3 linked regions of the Caenorhabditis elegans genome follow. The protein of the gene in region 3 purifies or fractionates together with the protein of the main gene of each other region. This does not show direct contact. Each region holds a gene or a part of one and is shown on either strand. Other genes may lie near its edges.

Region 1 (2,887 bases), on a different chromosome or scaffold from region 3:
TCGAGCTATAATCCGAATCGTTTTGTACCTGAAAATTATTGATTTTCCCATTGAAGTTTTAACTTGATTTCTCTGATTCTAAAAGTAGAATTTCGAAGTGAACGATTTTTTATATTTTATAGCCTCGTACTATTCCCGAACTTTCAATTGACTTTTGTGTGCCACCGTCCGTACTATATATTTACACGGGATGACAAAATCAGGTAAAGATCAACAATGGTGTTTTTGATGTAAAAAGGAACATAAGAGAGGTGTTTGAACTATGATCGGAGCATATTTAAACGAAGAATATACAACTTTTTATCTCGTAATTACTCCGAGAGAATCGCTGGGGAAGTAATTTTTTGAAAAAATTATGTTTTAAAAATACCAAATTCAGATTCAGAAAACACTCACTGTTTCCCGGACAACTGATCGCATCCATAGAAGTTTTGACTGTGAATTCTCTGCTTTCAAATACCAGACAACGTTTTCGCCCATAGATATTGAGAATTCGTTTTCATCAAATTCGTGGGCCTAAATTTTTAAATATACAAGAACTTTCTGAGAAATCAATAAAAGCTCACAGCTATTATTGCACTTTTGAGAAATATGCTTCCTCTGCATCCGTGGGATTTTTCGGCTTTTGACAGATAATAAACAAGATTTCCCTCTGTGATTTCAAAGTATCGATCTTGCCATCCATTCACGTAGTTTGTCCATTTTTTCATCACCCCATTCGTGGGAAGGACACTGGAATGAGATAAATTATATTAGAATTTATCATTGAAACAATTTCTGTAATTTAAAATATCTACAAAACTCACACTTCGCTCTCCATCGGCTTCGTTCGCGAATCAGCAGGTGATAAATGATAAGACAGAGGCTCTCTTTCCGAGAGACTTTCCCCGTTTCGATACAGTTTTGCTCTCACTTTGTTCTGCAAACAAAGCTCACGGTTTGGTAGGCAAACAGTTAAATGGTAGTCGATGGCAGAAAAGAAAGAGTATAGACAACCTTACATTTAGTCGATTCTAAACATAGGGCGTCGAAGGTGGCGAATATGGGAGAACCGGTTTCCTTGTACTGCAAATAGTTTTGTGAAGTAGTGTCTGAAACGAAAAAAGAAATTTGCGGAGCCAGGTCATCAAGCATGAAATAAAGTTCGACGCGTAACGAGGCACAATAGTTTAATGGGAATATGCAGAGCGTTTGTGCTTGTTGCATGGAGACACGAAAAGCAGACATAAGTCATAGAACTTGAGACAAAGTGTAATAAACTATTTATGTCACACGCGTTTTTTCAGATATCAAATGCAGCGATTCACTTCTCAATGTGTTTTGACGTTACAGGTGACGTTAAATTCCGATTTTTGTTCAATAATCCCGATGAAATTTCATATGAAGAAAACCAGTTTGACAGAACATAATTCTCGCAAAAGGTTCAATTGGTGTCCAAAAAAATTGGTCGAAAACAGTGGTCAGTAAAGGCGCTCCATTGCAATTCTGGCACAAAGCCAAGAATGCTGCGAGGTCGGGTCTCGCCACGTGCTGAAGTACGGTTACACTCGTTTCATTTGTGTCGGAGTTGATTGAATGGGCGCCGGCGGGTTATTCTTTTCACTTGCGTTCGTCGCTGTCGCCTGTGCTGTTGACACCTGTTCCAAGTTGGATTGTCCGAAAATGAGCAACACTGAGAGAACCTTCATCGCCATCAAGCCTGATGGAGTCCACCGGTTAGTTATCTTTGAAGAAACTTATTCTAGCATCCTCAATGGATTTTAGGATTTTCAAAATCCTAATTTTTTAAATTTCAGTGGTCTCGTCGGAAAGATCATCGCTCGTTTTGAAGAGCGCGGATACAAGCTTGTTGCTCTCAAGCAGATGACCGCCTCCAAGGCCCATCTTGAGGTACGTTTTCACGAAATTACAAAATTTTAGGCCCAACCAGTTAAATTATTATTTTTAGGTTCACTACCAAGACCTCAAGGACAAACCATTCTTCCCATCCCTCATCGAGTACATGAGCTCTGGACCAGTCGTCGCCATGGTCTGGCAAGGACTTGACGTCGTCAAGCAAGGACGTTCCATGCTCGGAGCTACCAACCCACTCGCTTCCGCCCCAGGAACCATCCGCGGAGACTTCTGCATCCAAACCGGACGCAATATCTGCCACGGATCCGATGCCGTTGACTCTGCCAACCGCGAGATTGCTCACTGGTTCAAGCAGGAGGAGATCAACGACTACGCCAGCCCATTCATCAACTCATGGGTCTACGAATAAACTGATTGCTTATGTCTCCCGGTGTTTTCACCGTTTTCGTATCTCTGCTGAATGTTGATAAAGTATTGCTTCCCACCTAAAACATCGTTTTTGTTGACATCTATTCCTGCGCATTCTCTAATGCGTTTTCATGGCAACCAATCCTACACGACTCAGCTGTCATCAAATCTTTTATTCAACCCGAAAACGGAAGGGGATTAAACATATAATATATTCAGATGACTGCAATAAGTTATGAAAACACGAATTAGGATAATAATTTCAGCTTTTAAGCTCTGAATTCCGCCACTTGCACGAGTTTGTTGCTCAGATTTGTGTTATAGAAGTCGAACTCGGGATTGTCCAAATGGTTTTCGAAATCGGAAAGCTCTCGGTACAACTTCTTCTGAATAACAGCTTGAAGGCCACGCAAGAAGTTGGAACCTTGGAAAATCGTTCTGAAATGAATATACTAAATGAATATATAACATCAAATGTTTTTTCCTACTTCGTTTCTTTCCAACTATCTCCATCTTTTTCATATGCCACGAGGCGGTCTTGTTCACAATCTGACACCAGTCTTTCGTTCATCACTTGTACGAGAATCGCTGCCGAAGAGGTAACAGAAGATATTCTGTCGGCGAG
Region 2 (4,691 bases), on a different chromosome or scaffold from region 3:
CCGCCGCTGTTGCTCTCGTCGATGTCAACCCGTAAGTTTCAGATTCTATAGTTTCTTGAGCAAATAATTATTTCTTTGTATTCAGAGAGGACAAATCTGCCTTGAACAAGCTCGTCGAGACCGTCAACAACAACTTCAGCGAGCGTCACGAGGAGATCCGCAAGCACTGGGGAGGAGGTGTCATGTCCGCCAAGTCTGATGCCAAGAAGCTCAAGATCGAGCGCGCTCGTGCCCGTGATCTTGGAAAGCTCTAAATTGTTTTTGTTGATAATAAAAACTTGTTATTCAAAGCTTGTATCTTTTTCAATAATTGGTAGTCTTCGTGGTACTCATTTGGATCGGTCTTGTTGGATATTGTTGAGAACAGTTTTCCCGAGAAGTGTCTCCCTAGTTCGTCGTTGTCTTGGAGCTTGCTGGTTGTCTGCGATATGGTTTCACTGAACAATTCTAGTTGGGTTCAATTCCGGGTGTCACAGCCACAACTGTCCAGAAACTTGCAGAGTGCGATAAGAGTTCGGCTATTTTGTGTATCTTGCCTTTACAGTGCTCTTTAAATTACATAAGGGTTCATTAAAATACGTAACGAAATATTTAAGGGGAAATCACAACACTGATGAAATTGGGGAAAACTAGTAAGCACGACAAATACATCAATCAATACAATTTAGATCTTTGCCTCGATAAGCTTCTCCAGAGTTCTGGCGTCTTTGGCAAAGTTGCGGATTCCTTCGGCGAGCTTCTCGGTGGCCATGGCGTCCTCGTTGAGAGCCCATCTGAACGCCTTCTCGTCAATGCTCACTTTCGGCAGGTCGAGTGTCTTGGCTGGAAAATAATTAAAAATTGCAATTTTTAATTGATTAAATCTCCCGCTCACCATGAGAAGTGGAGAGCACAACTGGAGCAAGTTCCGTCTCCGCAGCAAGTTGCTTCAGAAGAGCCGGAGAAATAGTAAGAAGATCACATCCAACAAGTCCCTTGATCTCTTCAGTATTACGGAACGAGGCAGCCATCACTTGTGTCTTATAGTCGTATTTCTTGTAATAATTAAAGATTCGAGTAACACTGACAACTCCTGGATCGTCTTTTCGAGTGTAGGCCTTCTGATCGGTATTCTTCACGAACCAATCCATGATTCTTCCGACGAATGGCGAGATTAGGGTGACTCCTGACTCGGCACACGCGACTGCTTGCTCAAAGTTGAAGAGCAGTGTCATGTTGCAGTGGATTCCGTGCTTAGATTCGAGGAATCTGAAAATTTAATTTTTTGCTGATTTTGAACTATTTCCGTTATAATTAATGCCTTAAACTCTTTTGAAAAATGTCAATTTGGGTCCAATTGAGTAGATTTTCAGTAGAAAACTAATAGAAACGAGACTTTGTATGTTTCGAAAAGGTATGTCCGTAGATTTTAGGTGATTTACAAGAAAAATCGAAGCATTTCTAGTTTTTAATTTAAAATGTGTTAATTTTTAACAATTTCATCTTGTATAATTCGTTTTTTAATTGATTTTTTCGAAACTAGTAGTGTTTTAAACCAAGCAAATCATCAAAAATGGGTAAAATTTCATCAAGTTTGATTTTTAAAAAAAAGTTTTTTAACTGAAAAGTTTTCCTAAAATCTCCAATGCCGTACTTAGCAGCCCGAATTCCTTCCCAAGTTGAAGCAAGTTTGATAAGAATCCGATCCTTCGAGATTCCTTCCTTCTCGTATTGAGCAATAAGTCCAAGAGCCCGATCAATCGATGCTTGAGTATCAAATGAAAGACGAGCATCAACTTCTGTGGAAACTCTTCCTGGAATAGTTTTCAGGATTTCTTTTCCAAAAACTACAAAAAGTCGATCCATAGCCGCTTGGAGCACTTCTTGATGTCCACTGGCGTGCTCTTTTGCGTAGGCAACTGATTGATCGATTAATGCTGCGTATTGCTCCATTTTTGAGGCGGCCAGGATGAGCGATGGGTTGGTAGTTGCATCTGTTGGCTGGAATTCCTTGATCGCTGAAAAAAATCGATTTTTTGAGAACAATTTTTGAAAAAAGTACTTTTTTCAACTGGAAAATTCGAGTTTTATTTTTCGATTTTTGACTTTTTACACAAAATCGAGGAAAAAAACAAAGGTGTGCGCCTTTAAGACTTACAGTAACCCATTTCCTGATTTTTTAAATTAATTTTTCACGCTTTTCATCTAAATTCTTGAGAGAAAACGTTGAAAAATGAAAAAAAAAACGAAATTGAAGGAACGTCTGGGTACTGTACTTTTGAAAGGCGCAAACACATTTTTTTCAAAATAAATATTTTTCACCAGTATTTACAAAAATTTAGAAAAAAGAGAATTCATCGAATTATCCAAAAAAAGTTTTTCACAGCTTTTTTTGGAATTTTTGAAAAATTCTAATTTTTAAATGGCACATTCCAGAAATTTACAATACTTCCATAAAATTTAATAGTATTTATTTTTAAAATGTTTTAACGAATTTTTTGGAAACTTCTTGAAAATATGTATTTTTTTCTCTAAAAAAATTAATTTAAAAAGTTCAAAAAGTCAGATTTCTATCTGAAAATCGAGAAATTTACTGTTTTTTACATTATAACAGTGGTCTTCCTAGAAAAATCGAATTTTCAGATAATTTAATTTTTTTTCAAAACTGCCAAAAAAAATCAATTATTCACCACATTTTCGAACTTTTTCTTAATGTTCAAAATTTTTACCATTAAAATCTCCAGTATCCGCAACAACGACTGATGCTCCTTTGAGTTGTTCCAAAACCGACATGATTTCCCTAGAAAAAGTCAAAAAAAAATCAATAATCGTGAAAATTACGGGAAAAATCGCGTGAGAGAGATCGAATGGAAAGTGCAGCCCATTGATAGCATCAAAGATAACAAAAACCGTATCAAAAAAATTTCAAATTTTTAATAGATATAATGATAATGATAATTCGACTAACCAATGTGAAAACAATGAACAATGAACAAAAAATAACAAAAAAGGGGGAAAATTTCAAAAAAAAAGTAACAACTCATAAAAAAATGACGATAAAAGGAGTAGGGAAGTGAGAAAAACAGTTTTCGAAAAAAAGTAACAAAAATGATGATAAAAAGGTATAAAGTAAAGTAGTAACAAAAAAACAAGAATATGACTAAATGTGTGTAGTTTGCAGTCTGTAGTTTGTAGCCTCTCAACTATGATGTGTCGTCGTCATTTCGAACCATTGACGAATCGATTCGGCAATCACCGATGGTAGTTGTTGAACTGATTTGACGAGAGCGTAGAATGGGAACGGGAACAGGGCGAGGTATGGCGTGAGTACCTGCAGGAAAAATTGGAAATTGTCAGCAGTTTTATGGGGGCAAATGGCAAGAGAATCGGGGGGTTTTCGAGAAAAAAAAGAAAGTAAATATTGTTCTTTGTAGTCAAATATGATCAAATTTCACACATTTTTTTGGGAATTTTAACACGAAAAAAAGGAAAAATCTTCAAAAATTGGAAAATTTATTGAGTTTTGAAATTTATTTGCGAAATTCCTTTCGAATATTTTGACCTAGTTTCAATTTTTTGTTTCATTTTTTAAATATTATTTTAAACACAATTTCTCACATTTTCAGACAGTTTTCCGCAAAAAATTATTTAAAAATGTGAAATTATCGATTTTTAGGTCAAAATTGAAGCGAAAATCGTCAAAATGCCAAAAAAGTCTACTGAAATTTAAATTTCAGACCTAAAAATATACAAATAATCGGCCATAGAAGACTGAAATAACGAAAAAAAAACTTTTGTAATTTTAAAAGCAAATTTTTGCTGAAAATCCTATAATTACCGTAACCTCGGCGTTTGTTCAATATCGAGAATGGAAAATTACCAGTTTTTAAAAAATTAAAATTAAAAAAAACGTTTTTTGTAGTCAAATATGATCAAATTTCACACATTTTTTGGGTATTTTAAATGAGCGGCAATTCTAGAAAATGGTCTGTTGCACCATGTTGTTCCAACATTTTTACAACTTGAAATTAGTTTAAAAATATGAAAAATCACTCGATTTATTTGAAAATAACATTAATTTCAGCTGAAGCCTTCGAGAAAATGCCCAGAAATGGCTTGAAAGTTGACTAATTTCGGCAATTGTCAACTTTCTGGCCTTTTTTGAGCAATTTCTCAAATTTTCAGTCGAATAAATGTCATTTTCAGATAAATCAACTAATTTTCTATACTTTGACACTAATTTTGGAGGAAAATGTTGAAAATGCATGGTGCTACGTCACCTCGAAAACAATTTTTTTTTCAGAGTGTAACTTCAAATAAAATGGAAAATGTATATTTTTTTAATTGGATTTTTCTTTAAAAAATACCCATAATAATCTAAAACTGGGATATTTTTGAAAAAAAACATATTTCCAGTCAAAAATAGCAGATTTCAACTGAAATCGTCTGATTTTGAAATTTTAAACATGCCAATTACAAGTTTTGGGTGAAAATGTTGATTTTTTAAACCAAAATTGGCAAATTTTCACTAAATTGCCCCGATTTCTAGCTAAAAAAATCCTGGAATGTTGAAAATGTGATTTTTTGAATGAAAATTTGCGAAATTCTATCTGAATCAATTTTTAGAAAATTTTCGGGTTAAAAAAATCGATTTTTCAATTTTATTCGATTTATTAGTTTTTTAAAAATTAAATCGTTCAAAATAACATCTG
Region 3 (5,931 bases):
CACGCGCGCGGAGTACAATTTTGAAATCGAAAAGCGAACGCCACGCGCATCACTAATCCTAAAACCCCCACATCAAGAAAAGCACAATATGAGATCCATTCTAATTATTATTTCCTCCCGATATATAATTATTTAAGCTTCTTTTTTTCTCTATTTCTGGTATCATCTTCTCTCATTTCTCGTCTTCTACACTAATTTAATTGACTCCCCCCACAAATCTTCACCTCTTTTTTTTGTCTTCTATGTATCCCATCGATCCCTTTCCAGACCGTTTTCAACTTTTTCACACACACAAAACCCCCTAAGTTTTTTTTTCTAATTTCTTTTAATTCTCCTACCACCGTGATTTTGTAAGTTCTTCCGATCGCAAAATTAAAGATAAAAAAGTTCTCATTTATTCGGATAGCTGCCACTTCTTTTCCTCTCTTCTCCCCCTCAACCCCCCACATCTGTTTAATCCATCACAATTCTTGAAAAATGAACATCCCCCATCCCCCCATCTCTTCTTTTCCCCAAAACACCCAAAAAATCTTATTTCCCTTTTTATTCTTTTTTATTGTTTCAATTTCCAAATTCTTATAAATTGCTGGAACCTTATAACCTCTTGTGAGCTCAGTTTTTCAGACATTTATTTCAAAATTATTATCATTGTTCTCCTAACGATTAGAAGGCCTTGTTGAACAGGAACGATTGGATGATGTGCTCGGCGACGGCTGGCTTGTCGGTTGGTACCATGTGTCCGGCTCCGCGAACAGTGGCGAATGTCACCTGGGATCCCTTGTACTGTGTCACGTATCCACCGATTTGACCCTTCACAGTGAAGTGGGTCTTCTTCTTGGAGAGCTGGAAATTAAATTATGGAATTTTTACAAAACATTAAAAATCTTGGGTCTCGCAGCGATTGAGAGCTTATTGTTTAAAAATACGGTACCCGGTGTCTCGACACGACAATTTTTATGAATGCAAAACGATGTGCGCCTTTAAAGAGTAATATTTTCAAAAAAATAATTTTCGATGAAAAATCCGCAGCAACGGAAGTTTGAAACTACAGTACTCTTTAAAGGCGCACAGCTTCGCTCATTCAACAAAAATTTATCGTGTCGAGACCCGGCGCCGTATTGTTTGGAAAAACTTTGGGTCTGGATAATATATAGATATCTTTTTATTGAAAAAAGCAAAAACTGTGGTTTATGCCCAAACAAATACGGTGCCCGGTCTCGAAGCGATTGATTTTTTTTTGAATGTAAAAGATTTTGCGCCTTTCAGGAGTACTGTAGCTCGAAATTTTGAAATTTGCTTTGCTGTTTCATGATTTTTTCTCACAATTTCATGCATTTTGAAATATTTGAAATTTTTAATTCCCGTTTTTCGAACTTTTTACTAAAAATGAGACTAAATTGAGAAAAAACTACAGTACCCCTTAAAGGCGCACACTCCTTTTTCATTTAAAAAATCGATCGTGTCAAAACTAGGTACCGTAGTATTGAAAATCACGAAAAACTAAAAAACATCTGCGCCTCTAAACTTTTAAACATAAAATAGCCTACCGTAAGACCGAGCTTGTCAGTGAATCTCTGTCCCATAAGAGCATTACAGGCCAAATCGACGTCTCCGTTGTAGAGCATCATTTTCAGATTGTTGTTGTTGACGGCGTTCAGAACACGGGAAGTCATGTCTCCGTATTGTCTCTTGTAACCGTACGAGATGGCGTTACTGGAAATAATATCATTTTACTGTGGAGCATGTAGGCAAATTCGCCCACCGATTTTGAGTAAAATATTTGGAAAAGGTATATCTTATTTGCTATTGGACATACAAAAAAGTTGTCGGCAAAATGTGCAAAACTTTAAGAGCTTTAATTTGTTAGTTGACAACCTTTTTTTAACACTTGTAGATTTTGAGATATATAGGTTTTTACACAATGCAAAATTTTAGAATCTTACCTGCAAATCGACCAAGCTGGAAGAGAAGATGGAATTCCGAGTGCCTTACGCACATCCTGACGGTTCAAATAATTGGTTACTGGGCTCTCATCAAGACATGGAACGGTTCCAAGAACCTCTGGTGTGTACTTCTTATTGAATCTTCTCTCATACTCCATTCCGAAACGGAAGCTTGCGCTGGTGGAGATGCAGTCGGCGTACATGTTGTATGGGTTGAGACCTCCGTTCCAGGCGGTCTGTTGGGTAGCTTCAACGAATTCTCCGCAGGCCGAGAACTCGCTGAACGAGTGCCATGGGCAGGCATCAGTGTCGTTGTGGCAGCACGAGGTCTTCATGTGCTCCCATTTGGCCTGGAAGTGTTTTTTTATTGAAAATAGATTTAGGCGTATGTTTAGGTTTGAGCTTAAAATGAGGCTTAGGTTCAGGCTTAGAATTAGGCTTAGGCTTCCTATTTTCAAATATTCAAAACTGCCCCAACCTGATCAACAACTCCGTGATGGTACAAGAAGTTGACAAGTGAGTCAACTCCCTCGTTAGCTGAAACACATCCGTTTCCGATTGCGAGTCCCTTAATATTGATATGAGATTGTGATTGACGATCCAAAATAGTCTGAACAAGTGTTGGAACATAGATTCCACCGTACGACTCTCCAGTCACATAGAAATCGTTTCCCTTGTATTGTGGGAACTCATTGAAGAAAGCGACGAGGGCTTCCCAATTCTCACTGGCTGTCTGGTCGTCTCCGGTTGCAATATTGTTGTCTGTGGCGTAAGAGTATCCAACTCCGGCTGGAGCTTCAAGGGTGAGAATTGAGGCATTCTTGTTCCAGGAGTATGGATTGGTGCGAAGGGTGGCTCCGTCGGTGTTGACCTGGAAAAACAAAACTGTTAATAAATCTTCTTTGTAGGTGCTTCTCTACCTTTTATGTTTGCTTAAATTTCAGCAAAAGTGACATGTTTCTAGATGTCACTTGAGAAATAACTTTTCTTAAAATATTTCGATGTCGTACATTTTCAAAAATTCACGATTTAAAACAAAATTTCTAACGGCAATTTTTTTAAACACAATTTTTTATGGTAACAATATATACTTTTTTAATAGTTTGTATCTCGCTTATTTTAAAATTTATCAAACATTTGTAAACTACAAAGTGTAGATCACAATGTGATGCACATTATAAGTAGTTGGCGGTTTTTGATAAATTGAAAATGGTAGAGATAAGAGCCATCAAAGTTGACATATATAGTGTCCCTAGAAAATCGGTAGGTGGGCGAGAAAAAAAAACATGAAAACTAGAAGTAAAAACAACGGAATATTATCAGTGATAGTGGTATTGTTAGAAATAAAAAAAAACATATTTTCACAAGAATATAGGAAAATGGAGTAATTGGGTTTCAGGGCACGAAGACTCAGAGGAACTATAGAATATTGTAGCTATACATTTTTCAAATAACACGAACCTATTTTTTGGAACCTCTTTTTTACCTTACATGTTAATTTATCCACAATATTTTGTAGCTAAAATGTTAGCTTTTTGCGCAATTTTCCGCTCCCCTCAAACTCACATTCCATGGTCCCCACTCGGTGAGAAGAGCTGACAATCCGGAGCATCCTGGTCCACCGGTAAGCCAGAGAAGAACTGGATCAGTTGATGGGTTGCTTTGAGACTCGACGAACCAGTAGTGGAGCATATGATTCTTCTTGGTTCCCACATTGTAGTAGCCCGAATATTGCTTGAAGTTTGAGATTGGAGCTCCAGGGAGATTTGTGATCAGAGCGGATTCGCTGAAATGAGAAACTACACAGTTGTTTTTAGGTTTTTTGTATTTTAATTTTTTAATAGGCGGTAGGCAGGCATGAAAGCTTAGAAGCCTTCTAAAGGTTACTTACCAAACATATGCGAAGCCGAGGAGCGCCACAAGTACAAGTGTCCTGCTCATGACCATCCTTCTTGTGATAAAAATCAGAAGAAACCGTACTTTTCCTAATACGGACTATATAGTGACAGAATAGGAGGAGTCTGTCCCGCATTTTTATAACCTTATCACTTTTTCAGCTTATCATCTGATGTTTTAAGCCGATTGTGCCCATCGTCGCGTCTGAATCTCTATCTTTTGAAACTGTACTGATAAGTTGATAACATCATCAAGTTCGGATCCGGGAGAAGGCAGCCAAGAGAAAAGTGGGGATTGTTTTAGTGCAAGATAAGTGGGATGCACTTCACGTACCTCTCTTCAAACAAAAGTTGTAACCTGCGGGAGTTCATATTTTTCGAGAAATTGGTTCAGAAACATTTTTAAATTTTTTAAAAATTAGTTTTTAATTGATAATTTGGATTTTCAATTGCTAATTTATTTATTCTAACTTCTACAATGTTTCAATCTGCCAATCTGAGTAAAAGCGGCTGGCATTTTACAGGCTCAAGGGGGCTTTTATTTTTATAGGACATGTAAAACAAAATAGAATCTTTAAAATTGTAGTACAATAATTCCAACAACGTGTAATAGCGGCCGACGTCTTACGGCTTCCAACATGTTAGAAAAAACTGACAGTAAGTTTGGGAGCTCATATCTCTGTGCTCATTGATTTAATCAAAAAATTTTAACTACAAACTTATGCGTCATATTATAATCTATAGTTTTGTAGTTGACATATTTTTGATAGCACTGAAAATAACCGAGATATGTGCACCAAGAACTCTCTCTTTCTTTATCAAGGCCATGATTCAACTTGTTTTTATTTTGTTTTTAACGTTTACCGGAAATATATACACGCTGGAAAATTTAGAAAGTTTTCCTCAAAAACTATAATTGTTTTTTCTGCAGAAATTTGGAATTTTTATTGCTAAACTCTTATCAGACGACAACATCCGCCTGTAGTATGTTTTTTTTCTTCTGAAACCAACTTTCGATTTTATAGCCTCGTGTGCAATTTTCTCCAACTGACGTCAGTGCTCTTCGTGGAATTACAAAATTGTCAGCAAAAAACAGTTCATCTTGGGGCAAAGTTGAGGGGATTATCATTATTGCAGACACATTTATGATAAGAATCATTCACGAAAAACGTAGTTTTCATAATTATTGTGCACAATTTATGAAAGTCATTTGAAGGGAAGGAAGAAAGTTAGGGGAAGAGTTGGAAAAAGATTAGAATTTTAGGGTTAGGCTTAGGCTTAAGATCAAGCCTATGCTTAGTCTTAGGCTTAGGTGTAGGTTTAGGCATAGGCTAAGGCTAAGTATGGGCTCAGGTTTACGCTTAGGCCTAGTCTAAGACTTAGGACTAGGCTTAGACTAAGGCTTAGACTTAGGCTTAGGTTTAAGCTCTACTTAGGCTTAATTATAACGTAAGCTTAAGGTTGGAGGTTGGTTTTTTTTTAGTTTTTTCAAGTTTTTAATAATTTTTGTTAATGTTCAAGGAATGTTAAAGTATATTTATAAAGAAAATTAAATAAATTTCAGCTAAACAATCGCAATCGAAAGGCTGAAAAATTGTGCAATCAGAAAACAAAAAAAGTATTCTTTCTGAAATTTCAGATTTTGAATATATATTTTTTTTATAAGCTCATCTCAAAGTGTCCCCCCCCCCAGAACTTGGACTGAAACATATAAAATCTTTAGAAAAATTGAAAATCTTCACCATGATTTGTTCAAACAAAATCCCGTCTCAACTTCAAATTCCGACAAACCCAAATCCCTGAGCGGCACCCCATAAAAACATGTTTTGAAGCATCTCTCAACACTTTCTTCATTTCTTTTACTTTTCTAATTCTATACAATTTACTTTGAAACTATTTTTCGATGATGATCATCATCATCACCATTCTACCGAAAGATTGTCAAAAAGTTGGGCAAGCCTCGAAGAACCGACGAGAGAGTGGGTAATCCTGAAGAGACGCAGGTCCTTGGGAGTGAAAAACCGGTCTCTCTATGACAATGACGACGAGAGAGAGAGGATTCTGTCATACACTTTGTAATAGTCGATATGAAG

What was found. The genes of interacting proteins can lie anywhere in the genome.
Region 1: the proteins of ctsa-1.2 (region 3) and ndk-1 fractionate together in Caenorhabditis elegans (co-fractionation; one large-scale study listed by BioGRID). This does not show direct contact.
Region 2: the proteins of ctsa-1.2 (region 3) and tald-1 fractionate together in Caenorhabditis elegans (co-fractionation; one large-scale study listed by BioGRID). This does not show direct contact.

The regions. Positions count from the first base shown.
Region 1 is NC_003279.8:10,552,570-10,555,456, reverse strand, and holds ndk-1 (Nucleoside diphosphate kinase), read left to right. Parts: upstream 1-1,543; 5' UTR 1,544-1,662; coding exon 1,663-1,715; intron 1,716-1,796; coding exon 1,797-1,890; intron 1,891-1,948; coding exon 1,949-2,263; 3' UTR 2,264-2,338; downstream 2,339-2,887. Other genes in the region: cert-1 (Ceramide transfer protein), read right to left, coding at 1-28, 397-516, 567-732, 807-820; F25H2.4 (MPN domain-containing protein), read right to left, coding at 2,532-2,700, 2,751-2,887.
Region 2 is NC_003282.8:4,384,739-4,389,429, reverse strand, and holds tald-1 (Transaldolase), read right to left. Parts: upstream 2,780-4,691; 5' UTR 2,773-2,779; coding exon 2,709-2,772; intron 1,998-2,708; coding exon 1,634-1,997; intron 1,249-1,633; coding exon 875-1,248; intron 823-874; coding exon 665-822; 3' UTR 550-664; downstream 1-549. Other genes in the region: rpl-7A (Large ribosomal subunit protein eL8), read left to right, coding at 1-31, 86-254; F55F10.1 (Midasin), read right to left, coding at 3,179-3,310.
Region 3 is NC_003280.10:11,737,480-11,743,410, reverse strand, and holds ctsa-1.2 (Serine carboxypeptidase ctsa-1.2), read right to left. Parts: upstream 4,054-5,931; 5' UTR 3,891-4,053; coding exon 3,835-3,890; intron 3,730-3,834; coding exon 3,510-3,729; intron 2,815-3,509; coding exon 2,422-2,814; intron 2,294-2,421; coding exon 1,944-2,293; intron 1,714-1,943; coding exon 1,548-1,713; intron 844-1,547; coding exon 664-843; 3' UTR 535-663; downstream 1-534.